Linked DNA regions of Kluyveromyces lactis. The protein of the gene in region 1 binds, or shares a complex with, the protein of each later gene. Links are inferred from orthologs where the notes say so. Each region holds a gene or a part of one and is shown on either strand. Other genes may lie near its edges.

Region 1 (3,886 bases):
ATCACGTCTCATTTGAGAGTTCATGTGCAATTAAAACCTTTCGCTTGCTCCACTTGTAATAAAAAATTCAAAAGACCTCAAGATTTAAAGAAACATTTGAAGGTACATAACGAAGAACTTTCACTACTGAAAAAAAAACGTGGTCCGAAGCCATCCAATAAGCTGGGAAAGATTTCAAATGACAGATCCCGTGCTCATCAGAGATTCACTTTACCATCTATTTCTTTGGATAAATTTATTCACGAGGAGGTGAAGACTCAACAACCCGTGTACTCTCAACAATTGGCAGAAAAGATGGCCATCGTCCTGCTGTTACCTGTTAATAACAACAACGCAACTTCCCCTCCTTCTGCGTCTTCTGCTTCGTCCACTGCAGTTTCCCCGAACTTGGTATCGCACCATATGGTTCTTCCTTACCAAACCCAGCAACGTCCTCTCGTGGGTCACGGTGCTGAATTGAGATCCGCTGTTGGATTCTTCAATAATTTATCCATGGATATGTCTAGAAACTATGCTAACAATAACCTACCGACCGCTAACTTGGGTCCTAACCCGGTACCTGCACCACAATCATACCCACTAATCCCTAAGTTGCCCAGTATTTCAGCCAGGCCAAATGTTGGAGCTCCACCTCCGGTATTGTCCGTATTCAACAGGTTTGATACACATCAAACATCTCCTTCTTCATCATCATCAGCATTCTATCCTCAACACTACTCGAATAATTACAGCCTACACCAAAGAACTGCGCTGTTGGATGCTGAGGCTAACGAAGATATCCCCGAAAAGGACAACGTATCTTTGGAGGAGTCATTCACTTCGTTAAATCTATCCTCAGAAGAGCAAGACTTGGAATTATTCTACGAAACCTATTCAACTGTCAAGTTAGTTAAAGATTATTTGTTATGCGAACTTATGGAGGAGTTAGATGAATTCAAAGAGGAAGAGGAAGAGCAAGGCTTTACGTCATTTGATGAATTTAGTGACTCCAAAGAATGTGTCATTGAAGGAAGAATTCCGTCGAACAAGATATCTCTATCAAAATATCCTCAGGTTGTGATATAGCCTCGTTATAGTAGAATATTACTCCGAATTTTTTCTGCAATGTTATGACACATATACTTGATGACATGGTTTTGGGGCGGCAATCTCTTTTTTTTGTTTATAATTTTTTTTTGTGGATACAATTATAAGGTTAAAGCTGACAGTTTATATGTAATGTTTTTTATTATTTTCTAAGGAGTATGTACAACTATAATTCATGCATAGTTCCCGGTAGGTTTGATTTTGAGTTTTCTCTCAAGATGACGACAGCTTTTGGTTTCCCTTGCTATTAGATGCACTGATTATGAGCTCAGTAAAATGTCAACAAAAATTTCAGAACAAAACAGAAAAAAGTCTCAGTATGAGATGAGATGAGAAGAGGTAAGGTGCAATAAACTCAGCATTCGAATGCCACTTGCTCGGTTTCCAACAGAACCATATTTGAGATGTCTGAAGATATTCTAACATACACCGCGAACACCGATTCAGACGATTCAGATGTGGAACAAAGAGAAATCGAAAAGAAATACAAGACTTCTAGCGAAACGCCAGTAGTGCAACTCTACGATGGAGATGACTATGACAATGATGATATCAGGGAAACGAATGGGAATGACTTTCCTAACGAAGAAGATGAATCAAACCAGCTGTATTCGCCCGTTGTTGACATGAACTTCTTCACTCTATCCGATGAGTGTACTGAAGTTATAATATGCTTAGAAAAGAATCAACACCTTCTAATATGCGGTCAGTTCAATCTACAAATTATAAAAGGCGGGATTACATATAACAACGTTCATTATAACAGTGGTTATAAAAACTGGGAATTCTGGCATCCCGCTTGTAATGCAATTTCGCCAATAGTGTCTTCTTTTTATGCCGGTTGGGAATCTAAATTGTTTCTTAACCGAGAATATCAACATTTCACAACACAGATCGAAAGCTACGACTGCGTCCTAAAAATCAGCAATGGCTGCAATATAACAGAATTATCTAGTTTATTACCTGAGCTTAGAGATATGTGGGGTCCTTTGAATATTTCATTGCTACCGGGAATTGCCAGAAAGCAACTAACGTTCAACATTATCAGTAAAATTTCCGATTCTGTAAGAATATTGGATATATCAACCGAATGGTCAACAGTCATCGATGAAATGCGTATATTCCACGCTAACTCGTCACAAGATATGAGGGTCATGGTAATAGGAGGTAAGAACTCAGGAAAATCCACTTTGATGCGGCTTCTTGTCCAAAAATTTTTGCATAGTAACAACGATCTATCATATGAAGCCATACACTACCTTGATATTGATCCTGGTCAGCCAGAGTACTCGCCACCTGAAAGCATATCATGGAATAAAGTAGACCCGAAATCTATGTCCTTAGGCCAACATCTTTGCCAAGGAAGATTCACAACCATAAAACAGCATTTCATAGGATCCTCATCACCTCAGGATTGGCCAGAAACATACTCTAACGCTGTAGAATCACTTTTGAAAGAGTGGCAGACAGAGAATTTCATGGGGACATCATTTTTAAATATTCCTGGGTGGATTAAAGGATTTGGTGTTAAAATTATCAACCATGCACTTGACCATTTCAAGCCAACTCACATCATATTTCTATCTTATAATGGGCTGCCCTTTTCGTCCGAAATTAAAGTCCCTGACGCTTTCAGTACAACTCAGCGGTCAACTTACAAACCTATAATACTACAATTGCATTCTCCTGCTGTGGGTAAACACATATCCCATGCTTTACAAAGATTTAACGCAGCTAAAATCAGGCAGTTCAAGATTACAGCATATTTACATAAAAAATATGACCGAAATTTTGTAATCAATCCATTGGTCATGCAGAAACCTCAACTAACTTCTATTGGCAACCGCGGTATAGTTGGTTTTGAGTTTCTCCAATATTCCAATAGCTCTTTGTATCACGATGATATCAAACTATCTTTAGATGGGACGGTCGTTGCTCTTCATAGGGCAGATAGTACCCCAGACGTGCTATTCAAGGGCATATTCCCAGTGATGAAGAATTACTCAAAAATTAACACTGAATTTGTGGGACTTGCTTTGATTCATTCTATTGATCTTGAACAGTCCCTCATCTACATGTATATTCCTGAGAACCTCTTTCGGGCCTTAAGAGAAACGGAAAACAAATGGGTCTTAGTACGTGGAAAGACGGAAACACCCATCTGCGAGTTATACCCAAATAATGGCATATTCAAAAGTGAAGTTGATATTCCATACGTTTCTCTTTACCAAAAGAAGAGACATGAACACGTATGGAAAGTAAGAAAAAATGTGATGAGAAGAGGACATCACATGAAATGACATCATATTTATTACATATTTGTAGAATTTAAAGCTCATTCAGACCCATCTGAAGAATCGTTCCATCCCATCCTTTTGTTTAGTCTGTCATATCTAGTTCTATCCTTATCACTGACGGAGGGTTTTACTTTCTTTAAAGCGTTTTCGAAATCTTTCATATAGACAATTACATCTTCAGTTGGAGAGTTTGTTGTGAGATCTTCGAATTCTTTGTCTAGGTTGTTCTCCCCTACTGACATGATTTCATCAGTTTTGAAAAAGTTTCGTTTGAGAGCCAGGACGGATGATTCTCGGACCAGTGCGGCGATATCTGCACCCGAAAAGTTCTTGCAACGTTCATCATTAACAATCCTGTTTATATCTACGTCGTCTGCAATTGGAGTTCCGTTTGATCTAATCAAAGTTCTCATAATATCGACCTTTTCTTCGAAATTTGGTAATTCTATGAAAAGGGTTTTATCGAGTCTCCCTGGTCTTAGCATCGCTGGGTCTATCATATC
Region 2 (3,325 bases), on another chromosome or scaffold:
TCTTTCCCAGTCCGATATCGACCATGACGATATGGGAGTCTACCATGTTGTTGTCTTACGGGGCAACGACTTTTTAAGCCAGTACATGCTTTGACATGTACAATTTAGATCATCTGAGTTTTCTCTTTTTAGTTTTCTTAAGGTCAAAGTAACAGTGAAACAAGATCCATCGTCGTATCTTCTGTTGCATTTATTTCTTCAAAACGTTTCACTTCTTCTTTTTAGCTAAGAACATGATTGTGCGTTATGGATTTTAACATTTTTTTATATGATGAAAATTGGTTCCTTTACATTCGCAGTTTCCACGGTAGGAGTACGCCTACGAACCCATCGTTAGTACTCTTCAGTGACCGCTCTTTATTGAGACCTTCCTAGGATGTCTGATCTTTTTATATGTTATTATCCATTTCCATTTTCAATCCTGTTATCATCGCAGAACCTGTAGAACTGTCAATCTTTCTTGCTTTGTCTTATGTATCTAAAAGGCTTAATTATACTAATTACAAAACGCCAAATGGTCTAGGCGTCCACTCGGTGACTTCTTGCCAGTTGGAGATGGGGGCATTGCTTTGTTTGATCTTTTTGAACTGATTTTTCAATTCATTCAAGTCTTTCAATATATCCAAGGCCGGGGAATCTTCCGAAACAGGCTCTATTTCTTCAGAAGACGTCCTTTTCCTTGAATTGTAGAGCTCTAATTCAACGTTCCTGATCCCCTTTGCCTCAAATTCTTCAATAACTTTTTTCGCGTCTATCTCATTCGCTTTCTTCTTCTTTCTTGACTTACTACCGCTGTAATTACCACTAGATCCACTTTCATTACTCAAATTCTTTAAGATGTGTAACACGAGATAGTTGTGGTACTTATCTACCACATTACTAAACAATCCATTACTCAAAAACTTTCTGCCGTTAACCATGGAACAACACTTATTTACGAATTTCAAGAGCTTCTTATGATTTGAGAACCGATCCGTAATCTTCGTCTCTTCATTCATGATCCTCTTCTCGTAGTTTTCTATTAGCCACTCTATACACCTGACTTGGAATGTGTCTAAGGAATGAAAACATATCTCTAACAAGGTTTCGTCGCAGTGCAAGATCATATACTCTACGAAATCTGATTTGTGTATTTGTTTCCAGGCAGTTTTCAAAACTGTCAACCAATCACTAACTTCTTCGTCCTCGGTTGAGTCCTGCTCACCAAAAGTTGATCTAGCAATTCTTTGACGTTTCCATAGGTACTCATTCTCTTTCAATAATCTCTTGAGACCAGTATACTGAGTGAATAAGGATTTCAGTTGAACAGATGACTGTGATTTCCTTTTCTTGGCTTCTGAGTCGTCATTATCATCAGTCGCATCCTCATCTTCAGCCTCATCAAAGTCCTGATCTTCCTCTTCCCATTCATCATTATTCCAATAATTATCCCACGTCCATTGTATCGCTTCCTTGCAACACAATCGTAGCATCTCAAGACTAGGCAGTTCTCTTTCATGTGTACTCAAATGACGTAACTCAACGAACCAACTGGGCAACCCTATATTTTCAGCAAGTGTGTGTAATGGGATAGCAAACTGTGCCTGTTGCACTGGGTCTAACATACCGTTCACAAACCTAATCAAGACCATGCAGTACTGCCATTTCAAATATTCCATATCATCGCCGTCTTGCGCCTCGCCAGGGTCGTTCAACTGGCATTGCATCAAACGGACCGTATATTCTATTATATGTGGGAGATATGGACCCCTGGTAAGGTATGCGTCAATTCGTTGTATGGCCCTTCTCTTCGATGCTGGAGTATCATCTACAAACAACCATTGCTTCAACTGTTCAAGCTCAGATCTCGATCTCCAAGGCGTTATTCTCATCGGGAGTTCCTCGTAGGGTTGTGTACCAAATGAAAGAAACAGAAATCACGAAAAACTGCTAGAAACAACAATTGTAGATATATATACCAGATTAGATGTGATATTAAGTCATATCATCTCACCTCATCTCATCGCTCTGTTTCCGAGTATGCATGGATCTTGTTTTTTCATCGAAATTGAAAAATTTCGAATATGACGAAATGATATCCAAAGCCCACTTTCAATACAGAGGAAGCAAATGAAATATTATCAATGTCATCGTATATTAGATGGATATTGGTAGTATGTAAGCGTCGGGAGATTCGAATAACGTAGTACACTTAACGTACTTTAACATGCAAGAATAATTTTCAGTAAATATCATTATGTAGTACTTCTTAAATGACAATCCGTTTTAGGTGTCAAATTCTTAATTAAGTATAATCTCGAAATAAAACTGCCGGAATCACAAATGGTCTTCTTTCATGAAGAAACAATTTCGTGTATGGCCTCCGAAAGGACAAGTAAACTTCGAATTGGATATCAATTGTAGCGAAGACTGCTAAACTGCTTTTCACACGCCGATTAAATCGAATACACGCCGGTCTGGTAATACTTTTTGTTTCAGGAACGGTCTGAACGTTTGTAATACAGAATCAACCGACACGCCTTCAGACGCTAAACACTACAAGTGCAGTAAAACGAAAGTCAGGGAGTGAATTGCACACAAATCGTCTTATGGTTTACGAAATGCTATCTCCGGTACCAGTTAAGAAGAGACATAGACCTACACTTGTATGTTTGAATTGCAGGCGTCGTAAGACGAAATGTGATAGAGGAAAGCCCTCGTGCAGTAACTGTTTAAAGCTGGGAGAAACGTGTGTTTACTCCGAGGATACGGATGAGAATGCTTCTAAAAAAGTAAGATACGAATATATGGATGATCTTGGATTACCGGAGTTCATCAATATGGCTCCTAAAGGGCTACATCTGTTAAGCAAAAGATCAGCTTCGTGGTTCAATGGGTTGTTCTCAGACATCGCTATATGTGACAGAGATCCATATTTAAGAATAACAAACGCTGTCATTGATATTTTACGGAAAAGTGCCAGTAAAGGTATCGATCGTAGTGAAAGAGACACCGTCTTGCAGCTTCCTAATTCGTTAAAGACCGTAACCATGTACAACCGGTCAGAAAAGTCTGAAGATCAACTATACCATCAGATAGCTAGGGAGTTCTCAGCATTGCGGTCTGCCCCAATACCGGAGACATATGTACCGTATGAATACGAATTTTGGTCCAAATATTATCCATACTTCGTTGACAAGATTCATCCGTTGGTGCCTGTATTCAATCTTATTGAGTTGAAGGATCTACTAGAAAAGTTTTTTCAACGCCAAAAAGACCATCCGGGCAAATTGAACGACAAGGTACACGAGTCTACTCTTTTAATGCTAACGTACCTCATCATCAA

What was found. The genes of interacting proteins can lie anywhere in the genome.
Region 2: the proteins of GRC3 (region 1) and LAS1 are in contact, whole or in part, in a crystal structure (PDB 7Y18), measured with the Saccharomyces cerevisiae proteins. The link is inferred for Kluyveromyces lactis from reciprocal best matches to the Saccharomyces cerevisiae genes GRC3 and LAS1. Residues at the interface, in NP_013065.1 of Saccharomyces cerevisiae: Glu72, Gly73, Asp74, Glu75, Asp76, Glu77, Thr173, Glu177, His180, Leu181, Arg183, Asn186, Glu200, Arg201, Tyr456, Asp457, Phe458, Ala459, Pro460, Leu461, Leu462, Lys463, Ser464, Ala465, Pro466, Leu467, Gln468, Ile469, Ser470, Gly477; in NP_012989.3 of Saccharomyces cerevisiae: Ile2, Pro3, Pro4, Arg5, Ile6, Val7, Pro8, Trp9, Arg10, Asp11, Arg36, Gln39, Arg40, Gln42, Ser43, Tyr44, Arg45, Leu46, Lys47, Gln50, Tyr51, Leu52, Pro53, His54, Val55, Arg94, Asn97, Gly98, Leu99, Asp101.

What each region holds. Positions count from the first base shown.
Region 1 is NC_006041.1:81,005-84,890, forward strand, and holds GRC3 (polynucleotide 5'-hydroxyl-kinase), read left to right. Parts: upstream 1-1,490; coding exon 1,491-3,386; downstream 3,387-3,886. Other genes in the region: alkaline-responsive transcriptional regulator RIM101, read left to right, coding at 1-1,065; putative AAA family ATPase RIX7, read right to left, coding at 3,422-3,886. UniProt on the Saccharomyces cerevisiae protein: Polynucleotide 5'-kinase involved in rRNA processing. Required for the efficient termination by RNA polymerase I and the processing of the IST2 pre-rRNA internal transcribed spacer localized between the 5.8S and 25S rRNAs.
Region 2 is NC_006037.1:554,780-558,104, forward strand, and holds LAS1 (rRNA-processing protein LAS1), read right to left. Parts: upstream 1,872-3,325; coding exon 501-1,871; downstream 1-500. Other genes in the region: OAF3 (Oaf3p), read left to right, coding at 2,589-3,325. UniProt on the Saccharomyces cerevisiae protein: Regulates cell surface growth, bud formation and morphogenesis. May act indirectly by regulating factor(s) involved in these processes.